Sus scrofa: one gene and its partner. Each later gene encodes a partner of the first gene's protein in a complex. Links are inferred from orthologs where the notes say so. Each region holds a gene or a part of one and is shown on either strand. Other genes may lie near its edges.

Region 1 (3,648 bases):
TGATGGAATATGTTTCAGGAGGCGAGCTATTTGATTATATCTGTAAAAATGGAAGGGTAAGCAGTTCTGATTTAATCCTATATATATTTTGTAACTTCCCTTATCCCTTACTAGCATCAAAAAATACCAGAAAGCAATTTTGTTAAGAGGTCTATTTAATAACCAGTTCCTTTATTCATATATTTGCCTAGAATCAGAGACTGTTTAGAGCTAGGAAGGATCTTAAATATTATCTCCGTACTACTTACACAGATATGGAATCTGAGACTGACAGTTTATATATTTGCTTAAGGTCACATAATTTATTGACGACAGAATTGGATTGAGATTCCAAAACTCATGATCTTCAGACTTAGCTTCTGGGGCACAAGGATAATTTTAATATATATCTAAAAGTAGGTATTTAGTCCTCACAAAATATGTTATTAAATACTTAAAGATCGAGGCCTTGCTAGTCAACCCTAGCCACATTTAAATTGCATTCATTTTTTGGTTTCAGAAATCTGGTGTACCTGGAATAGTCAGAACAGGTTCTGTGAAGGAGAAATTAGACTTAAAGAATTCAGAATTGGAAGGAACTTTAGAAGGCAGTTTTAACAGTATCTTAAGTTACAGATACCAAAACTGCACACTACCCCCCATCCATACTTTTTCTCAACTTGGGGTATGTAGTATGCAAAAACCTCTTTCCAGAAGAGCAGGTCGAGCATGGAGAAGCCAGTTTTTTTTCCCTCCCAATTTAGAGTTCTTATATCATTCATTCATTTGTTCTATATAGCACATCTGTTTACTTTCATCAAAATCATTAGCCAAGTTAATTTTAATTTTACCATTTTTTAACATGGTTCATTTCAATTTCAAGTGTTTTATCTGTCTTTTCAGTCCCCCTTCCTCCTCCAATCTCCCCAATGTTCTGCCCCAATGTTCTGCCTAGAGAAATGGGAACAGACATAAGTTGGATTGATATCTTGCTTTCTTATCATTTCTCTTCCTTTTTTCATGTCTTGATCATTTTGTTTTACGTTACGGATATTTCCCTCAATTTTGCCTCTTGCATATTAAAATTCCAGCTGTCATTTTTCTATTTCAAAGATCTCTTTCTTATTTTCTGAAATTGTCTTTCTCAAATTAGCCTATTTTTTTGTTCCATTGAGCAAATAAACTTATCTATATGAAGATGGCAATTAGTTTAAAAAAAAAAGTTTTCTTCTGTTCCCTACATTGCCTCTGTGCCTTCTGTGCTCCCTGCTCCCTGTTCTTCTGTTCATTTTATTGGTCTTTGTCTTTTGTACATGGCTCTTGCTCAGATGTCTGGTGATTCTGGGTTGTGGGCCCATATCTGAGAGTGAAATACTAAATGCAAAGCTCATGGTGGTAGAACTTATTGATTGGTGGGTCTTCCCATAAGTTGAATAGGTAGGGACCTGCCCATTTGATTAGAGAATGTCAATAATTACACATATTTTGGAATTTCCATTGTGGTGAAGTGGGTTAATAATCCAGCTTGTCTCGTGGCATTGCTGGTTCAATCCCCAGCCCAGCTCAATGGGTTAAGGAATATTAGCACTGCCACAGCTGTGGTGTAGGTCACAGATGCGACTGGGATTCAGTCCCTGGCCCTGGAATTTCCCCATGCCTTGGGTGCAGCCAAAAAAGGAGAAAATGTATAAATATTTAGCTGCTGTAGAAGAAACCTTCTAGTTTCCTTGTGGCTATTGGCTTAGCTGCCAGTGCCTCTGCGAGCTAAATGGGGAAAGGCTAGCAAGCCTCACTGGTTAGTATGTTGACTTTCAATGAATCCCCACAATTTCCTTCTTGTGCCTTGTTCCTACATTGGTGTCCTTAAGAACAGAGCTAGTTCAGCCTTACTAAGGAGTAAATCATGGGTCTTATTCCTCAGTAAGTATGAGCTTAAAATGTCTTTCTTCAACCAGTTGTCCTGTTGTCAGCTCACTTCTCATTTCTACCTTCAGCCCAACACCTTCAATATCTAAGCCCTTTCAGGGGTCTGTGTGCAGCTGAGCTTATCACTGATTTCCACCCCTAAAGGCTTAGGAGGTTCAGCTTCCTGTGGTTGGCCAGCACAGCACTGTTCATCTTCTGTCTAGCTTAGTGACTCCTCTTGATTAGTGCTGTCTCTTCTCTTGCTCTTTTGTCTTTATATGCTATCATTTTAGTGATGTTTCAAAAAGTGGAGACCAAAGGTTCCATCTGCCATGTTTAAATGGAAATATGCTTTGACTTTTCTAATCTTTCTTTGTAGACTTCCCTGCCTTGATCTCTGTCCCGTATTTATTATTAATATAGTATAATTTTGATTTTTATATTTTGTTTAATCAGATTTTCTTCTCTTTGACATTTAGAACAGATTTTTTTCCCATTTAGTATATTTGACATGAAGTTGTATTAAAAAATGAACCTAGAAATAAAGGCATTAGATTCCTCTGGAGGAAGGGTGTCTCTTAGTACTTTGATAATTTTACTTATACTTTCAAAAGAAATGACTGTTTTCATCTTCCAGATTTTCAACGCCATTTAATAGGTGTAAGAATCTGGTTTTATAATGCTAATTTGTGACCTGTGTTAGAGAATTGTATATTAGAGTCCTTTGCCCAGGGGATTAATAGCTCATTTATTAAATATAACTTCTTGGGAGCAGGCATATCCAAGTAATGGTTTTCACTTATGGAAAAAAAAATTAATAAAATAAGCAAATAAGGATAAATGGAAAGAGAAGTTTTTAAAGAGTATTTTAAAAAACGTAGTTATAGCATAAAGATATGATTTTTTCAGTAAACAAAGATAAATGTTGTATTTTGTAAAACAAATTAAAAAAGGTTTTTATTTCGTTAAAACATCTTTTATTTTAGGAGATATGATAACATGGTCATGCTTGCAAATTCATTAATAATGCTTAAATGTTGCTTTCTCATGTGGTCCAAAACAGTATTCCCCACCCCAGTATAAACTCTCTGTGCCCTTATCCTGCTTTATTTTTCTTCAAAACACTGTCACTCTTTATGTGTTTATTATCTATTTTCTGTAACTAGATTAGGGCCTTGGTTTTATTCATTGCTATATCATGATTGTCTAAAACAATGCATGGCCCATTGAAGGTATTCAATAAATAATGGTTAAAGGAATCAAGGATTAAATATTTGTAATTTATAGGAAAAAATGCTTAGTTTTAAGTAAAATATGAAATTATTTGAAATAGTGCATGAAATTTAGATGGAAGAAAGCTTTTAGAGTGTAGTCAGAAGAGTGGTAATATAAGAAAGCTGAGTTCCTGACTTGGGTTCTAAGTCCCTCCTAGCATTTCCGTTTGGTGCTGTCTTTATATTCTCCCCAATTCAAAAGTATCTTGTGAAGGTTTCTTGCATTTTCCCAGTTTTATTGGTTGGAGAATTATAGGTAGAATAACTTCTTTTAAAGACTCACCTTTAAGATATCTCTCTACTGTTCTTAGCTGGATGAAAAAGAAAGTCGACGTCTCTTCCAACAAATCCTTTCTGGTGTGGATTATTGTCACAGGCATATGGTGGTCCACAGAGATTTGAAACCTGAAAATGTCCTGCTTGATGCACACATGAATGCAAAAATAGCTGACTTCGGTAAGGAGATTTTTATAGTTTGATATATTCATTA
Region 2 (3,748 bases), on another chromosome or scaffold:
ATGAGGTAAGCTGCTATGTTAGAAATGTCTCAAATCCATCTCTCTCCTTTCTACTTTCACAGCTTTAACTTAGCCCCCCCCCCACTTTTTTTCCCCCCGCCACTTTCAAAACATGTGAAAGTTCCCAGGCCAGGGATCAAACCTGTGCCACAGCAGTGACCTGAGCCACTGCAGTGACAATGTCAGATCCTTAACCTGCTTGTGCCACAAGGGAACTCCTAAGCTTAGCCTCGTACATGCCATTTCTATAGCATTCTCTAAACTGGTCTCCTTGCCCTAAATCTATTTCCTCTTAATTTGTCTTCCATGCTGGCACCCAGTTCTCTCCCCAAGTACCTCAGATTTGCAAGGGACTCTCATCTCCACCAACTAAGAACTCACTACTTTCTGAAGTAGCCCCATCCATTTACAGAAAGCCATTAGGGACATGCCTAAAGCATACTCACTACCTTGCTCATAAACCTTCCGTGGGTCCCCTTGTTACAAAACAAAAGTCAGGAGTTCCCGATGTGGCACAATGGGATCAGTGGCATCTTGGAAGCACCGGGAAGAAGGTTCAATCCCCAGCCCCCTACAGTGAGTTAAGGTCTGGCATTGCTGCATCTGTGGTTTAAGTCAGGTCTGTGGCTCAGATCTGATCCCTGGCCCAGGAACTCCAAATGCTGCAGGGTGGCCAAAATAAAAACAAAAACAAAATTCAAACTTAACATGGTATGCAATACCTTCAACCTGACCTCAGCCTACTTTTAGTCTTTTCTCCAACTGTGACCAAAATCCAAAACTCCAGCAACACCAAACCACTGGCTCACCCCCAATTAATCTCTACATACCCCAGTTTCTATGCCCTTGCTCACACTGTTCTCTCAACCTGCAATGCCCTCTCCTGGGTTCACAGTAATTTCTCCCTTCCCTATGCTTCCACAGTCCCCTTGTTTGCATCTTGATGATGGCACTGATTACAGTCTACCTGAAATAACAGCTGTCACTGCTTGCCCTCACTCCCACTCCAGTTAAGCTGAGCATTTTCAAAGCAGGGGTTTTCTTTCTCCTTCTTCTTAAAACAATTTCTATTCTAAGAACCTAAAGTATGAGGGCTAAATTAGAAAATCCATACAAGAATGCTCTGTAAACCATAATACATTTCCGAGTAAAAAATAATGTTATTTGAAATTTAGTGGAATCAGATCTTTTATTCTTGCTCAAAATGCTCTTAATTTGTAACTCCCTTGCCTGAGTGGCCAGTTGCAAATCGTAATTTACCACTTTGGTTTTGTTTCCTCTGTATAACCTAAGGGACATGACCCCTCTGCAGGTGGAGAAAAGGGTTACAGTAAGGAAATTAGCCTGGGCATGTAACTGATCCAAAGAAAAGTGAACCTGCAGCCCTCACACAACTACAGTAGCAGATGATCCAAACCAAGATGGGCATATCTGCCTGACAGAAGAGACATGGTTAAGCACTGTCGGAGAGGTAAGGGAATGGAAAAGGCTCCATCCAGAGTGCTAGACCAAGGGTCCTGAGAGTGAGGGTGGGTCCAAATAGGTCGAAGGCAACCTGCAGCAACTCTGGGAGGATGACACGGGCCTGCCACAATCCGTTAATGCCTGCTTGCCAAGAAGGAGCTATGACAACACATCTGCTTAGAATCGCAGAGCAGGGCATGACCTAAACTATTCCAGGGACACAGTGGCCTCTAACACTGAAAAGATTCCCTCCTTCAGGGAAACCCCACTTTTCAGTCTTATCAAGGGATGTGACGTCGCTGGACACCTCAAGGCGGTATAAAAGGCTTTCAGACGTCCCTCCTGCCAAGGATTCCACGAATCTCACTCAGACAACTGGGCACCAGGTGCTACCTGCAAGCGAGGGACCCTCTGAACCTCCTGCCTCACCCAGCAAAGCTGGATCACAACCCTTCTCTCTCAGGCAAACCTCTCAAGGGCTTGTGGTGCTAAAAGGAAAGGAGACCTGAGATCGCCAGGGTGCGTGTGGGTTCCAAGGAGGGAGCCGGGAGTCACTGCCCGCTCAGGCTAACAGTACCGCGGACGGAAGGCAGGCACTGACGCGGCCCAGTCCTAGGAGAGGAGAAGAAGCGGAGCAGCAGGGTCATGGAATAGGACAGACGCGGGGCTTCTCTTTTCCTGGGCACCAGCGCCGGCTTCCCTGTCCCCTTACTGGGGTCTTAGGCTCCACAGCGCCCCCCCACCGCCCTCCCGCGCTCCTCACCGTCTCCATTGCGAGACGCCGGCTGAGTTCGTTCGTTTTAGGAAGCTCGCCCGGGGCGGGGGGCGGAGAAGGCCCCGCCCCACGTCCGGTACCGCAAGGCCACTTCCGCTTACGTCGGGACACACGCAAGTCAAGAGCGGAAGGCGGGGAGCTTACCCTTCCGGCGTTGCTTAGCCTCAGAAACCGCCCTCCCCCGGTCCACACTGGGACCTCGCTGATCCCACCGACGGCGAGGGTGACGGGACGGAGCCGCTTGTATTTAAAATGTTCTTTTTTTTATTTGTCGTTTAAAAACAAACTTGGAAGAAGCAAAATCCAAAACTTGCCCTTTGCCTCTTGCAACATAAATTATGTACAGTTCAGAATGATCGCTGATACAAAACATGCCAAGGACAGGGGCGCTGGGGGTGGAGGGAGAGAGGGCGCTTTAAAAAAGGGAATCATTTCATCCGTTGTTACGAAGGACCAACCTTGCTGTACAGGATACACACAACACAAAATAAAGTCTTCACGGGATTCACACTTGTCAGAGATTTATTTTTTAAAAAGGGGGAGGGTCCTGGAGGTGAGGGGAGAAGACCGTAAAGGGGAAAAACTGAAAATTGAATATGTGCAAGTGTAAACCAACCCAAAATACAAACACGGGGGTGGGGGTGGGGGAGGGAATTCTGATGCAATTATACAGGCGGGGTACTTAAAAAAAAAAAAAAAAACCAACAACCAAAATTCCAACCTTGTAGCTTGGGTCTGAGTTAGTTTATATAAAAATTAAAAACTGTATAAGGTTTCTTCACTAAATTCTACAGGACTATCGGATACCTAGCATACGCTTACAAAGTCTGCCCCATCCCCTTTTCCCAATCCCAGGGCCCAAGCCCCAACCAGGGCCTGACTCACTGGAGCCAAATCTCCCCATCCCTGGAGCCTAGACCTTTTGCTCTTGGAAAAGGAACATCCAATGGCTTTGGGGTCAGCAGCCCAGTCTCCCCACTGTCTGATTTCATTACAGTGGTTTCTGTGGGGGTGGGGGTGGGGGTGGGGGTGGGATGTTATCCTCTTAAACATTTGCAGCTTGAAACAGTTGAGGAAGCAGCTTAAAAAAAAAAAAAAAATCTCCCTACCCCCATCAATCCGCAACCCCCCAAATTCAAAAACAAAACAAAAACAAACCTAAAATCACAACAGCGACCGTGCTCCCCCTCCAGCAGGCCTGCCCACACACCGCCACCAAGCCCACCCCTACACTCCAGATATTTGATTCTTGAAAATATTAATTACAAAATGCCCTTTGCCCACAGCCCCTAGGAGAGAACTGCATATAAGCTTCATCTTCATCCCCACGGCTCCCTACCAGAGAGGGGTCTGGGGCCGCATCTACCCCCGGACCTACCCCTACCCCCAGGAAGAGGTTCAACTGCAGCACAAGCTTGGGCAGAAAGGGGAAGGAAAGGGAGGCAGGGGAACCCATTACCCTCTGGCTCCCCCTGGGGCCAGCTCACTTTTGTGCGTTATAACATAGTC

Evidence for each region.
Region 2: the proteins of PRKAA1 (region 1) and PRKAG1 are in contact, whole or in part, in a crystal structure (PDB 6C9H), measured with the Homo sapiens proteins. The link is inferred for Sus scrofa from reciprocal best matches to the Homo sapiens genes PRKAA1 and PRKAG1. Residues at the interface, in NP_006242.5 of Homo sapiens: Ser295, Ser296, Thr297, Met298, Ile299, Asp301, Glu302, Lys305, Arg342, Glu347, Ala348, Phe351, Tyr352, Leu353, Arg369, His371, Pro372, Glu373, Pro376, Phe377, Asn449, Val451, Thr452, Thr536, Pro537, Arg538, Gly540, Ser541, His542, Thr543; in NP_002724.1 of Homo sapiens: His36, Asp40, Leu41, Ile42, Pro43, Thr44, Ser45, Val50, Leu64, Val65, Gly68, Val69, Arg70, Trp75, Ser77, Lys78, Lys79, Gln80, Phe82, Pro158, Glu159, Ser160, Gly161, Asn162, Lys170, Arg171, Lys174, Phe175, Leu178, Phe179.

The regions. Positions count from the first base shown.
Region 1 is NC_010458.4:25,759,451-25,763,098, reverse strand, and holds part of PRKAA1 (5'-AMP-activated protein kinase catalytic subunit alpha-1), read left to right. Parts: coding exon 1-56; intron 57-3,469; coding exon 3,470-3,614; intron 3,615-3,648. UniProt on the Homo sapiens protein: Catalytic subunit of AMP-activated protein kinase (AMPK), an energy sensor protein kinase that plays a key role in regulating cellular energy metabolism.
Region 2 is NC_010447.5:15,047,344-15,051,091, forward strand, and holds the start of PRKAG1 (5'-AMP-activated protein kinase subunit gamma-1), read right to left. Parts: upstream 2,277-3,748; 5' UTR 2,237-2,276; coding exon 2,228-2,236; intron 2,157-2,227; exon of another isoform or gene 1,970-2,156; intron 1-1,969. UniProt on the Homo sapiens protein: AMP/ATP-binding subunit of AMP-activated protein kinase (AMPK), an energy sensor protein kinase that plays a key role in regulating cellular energy metabolism.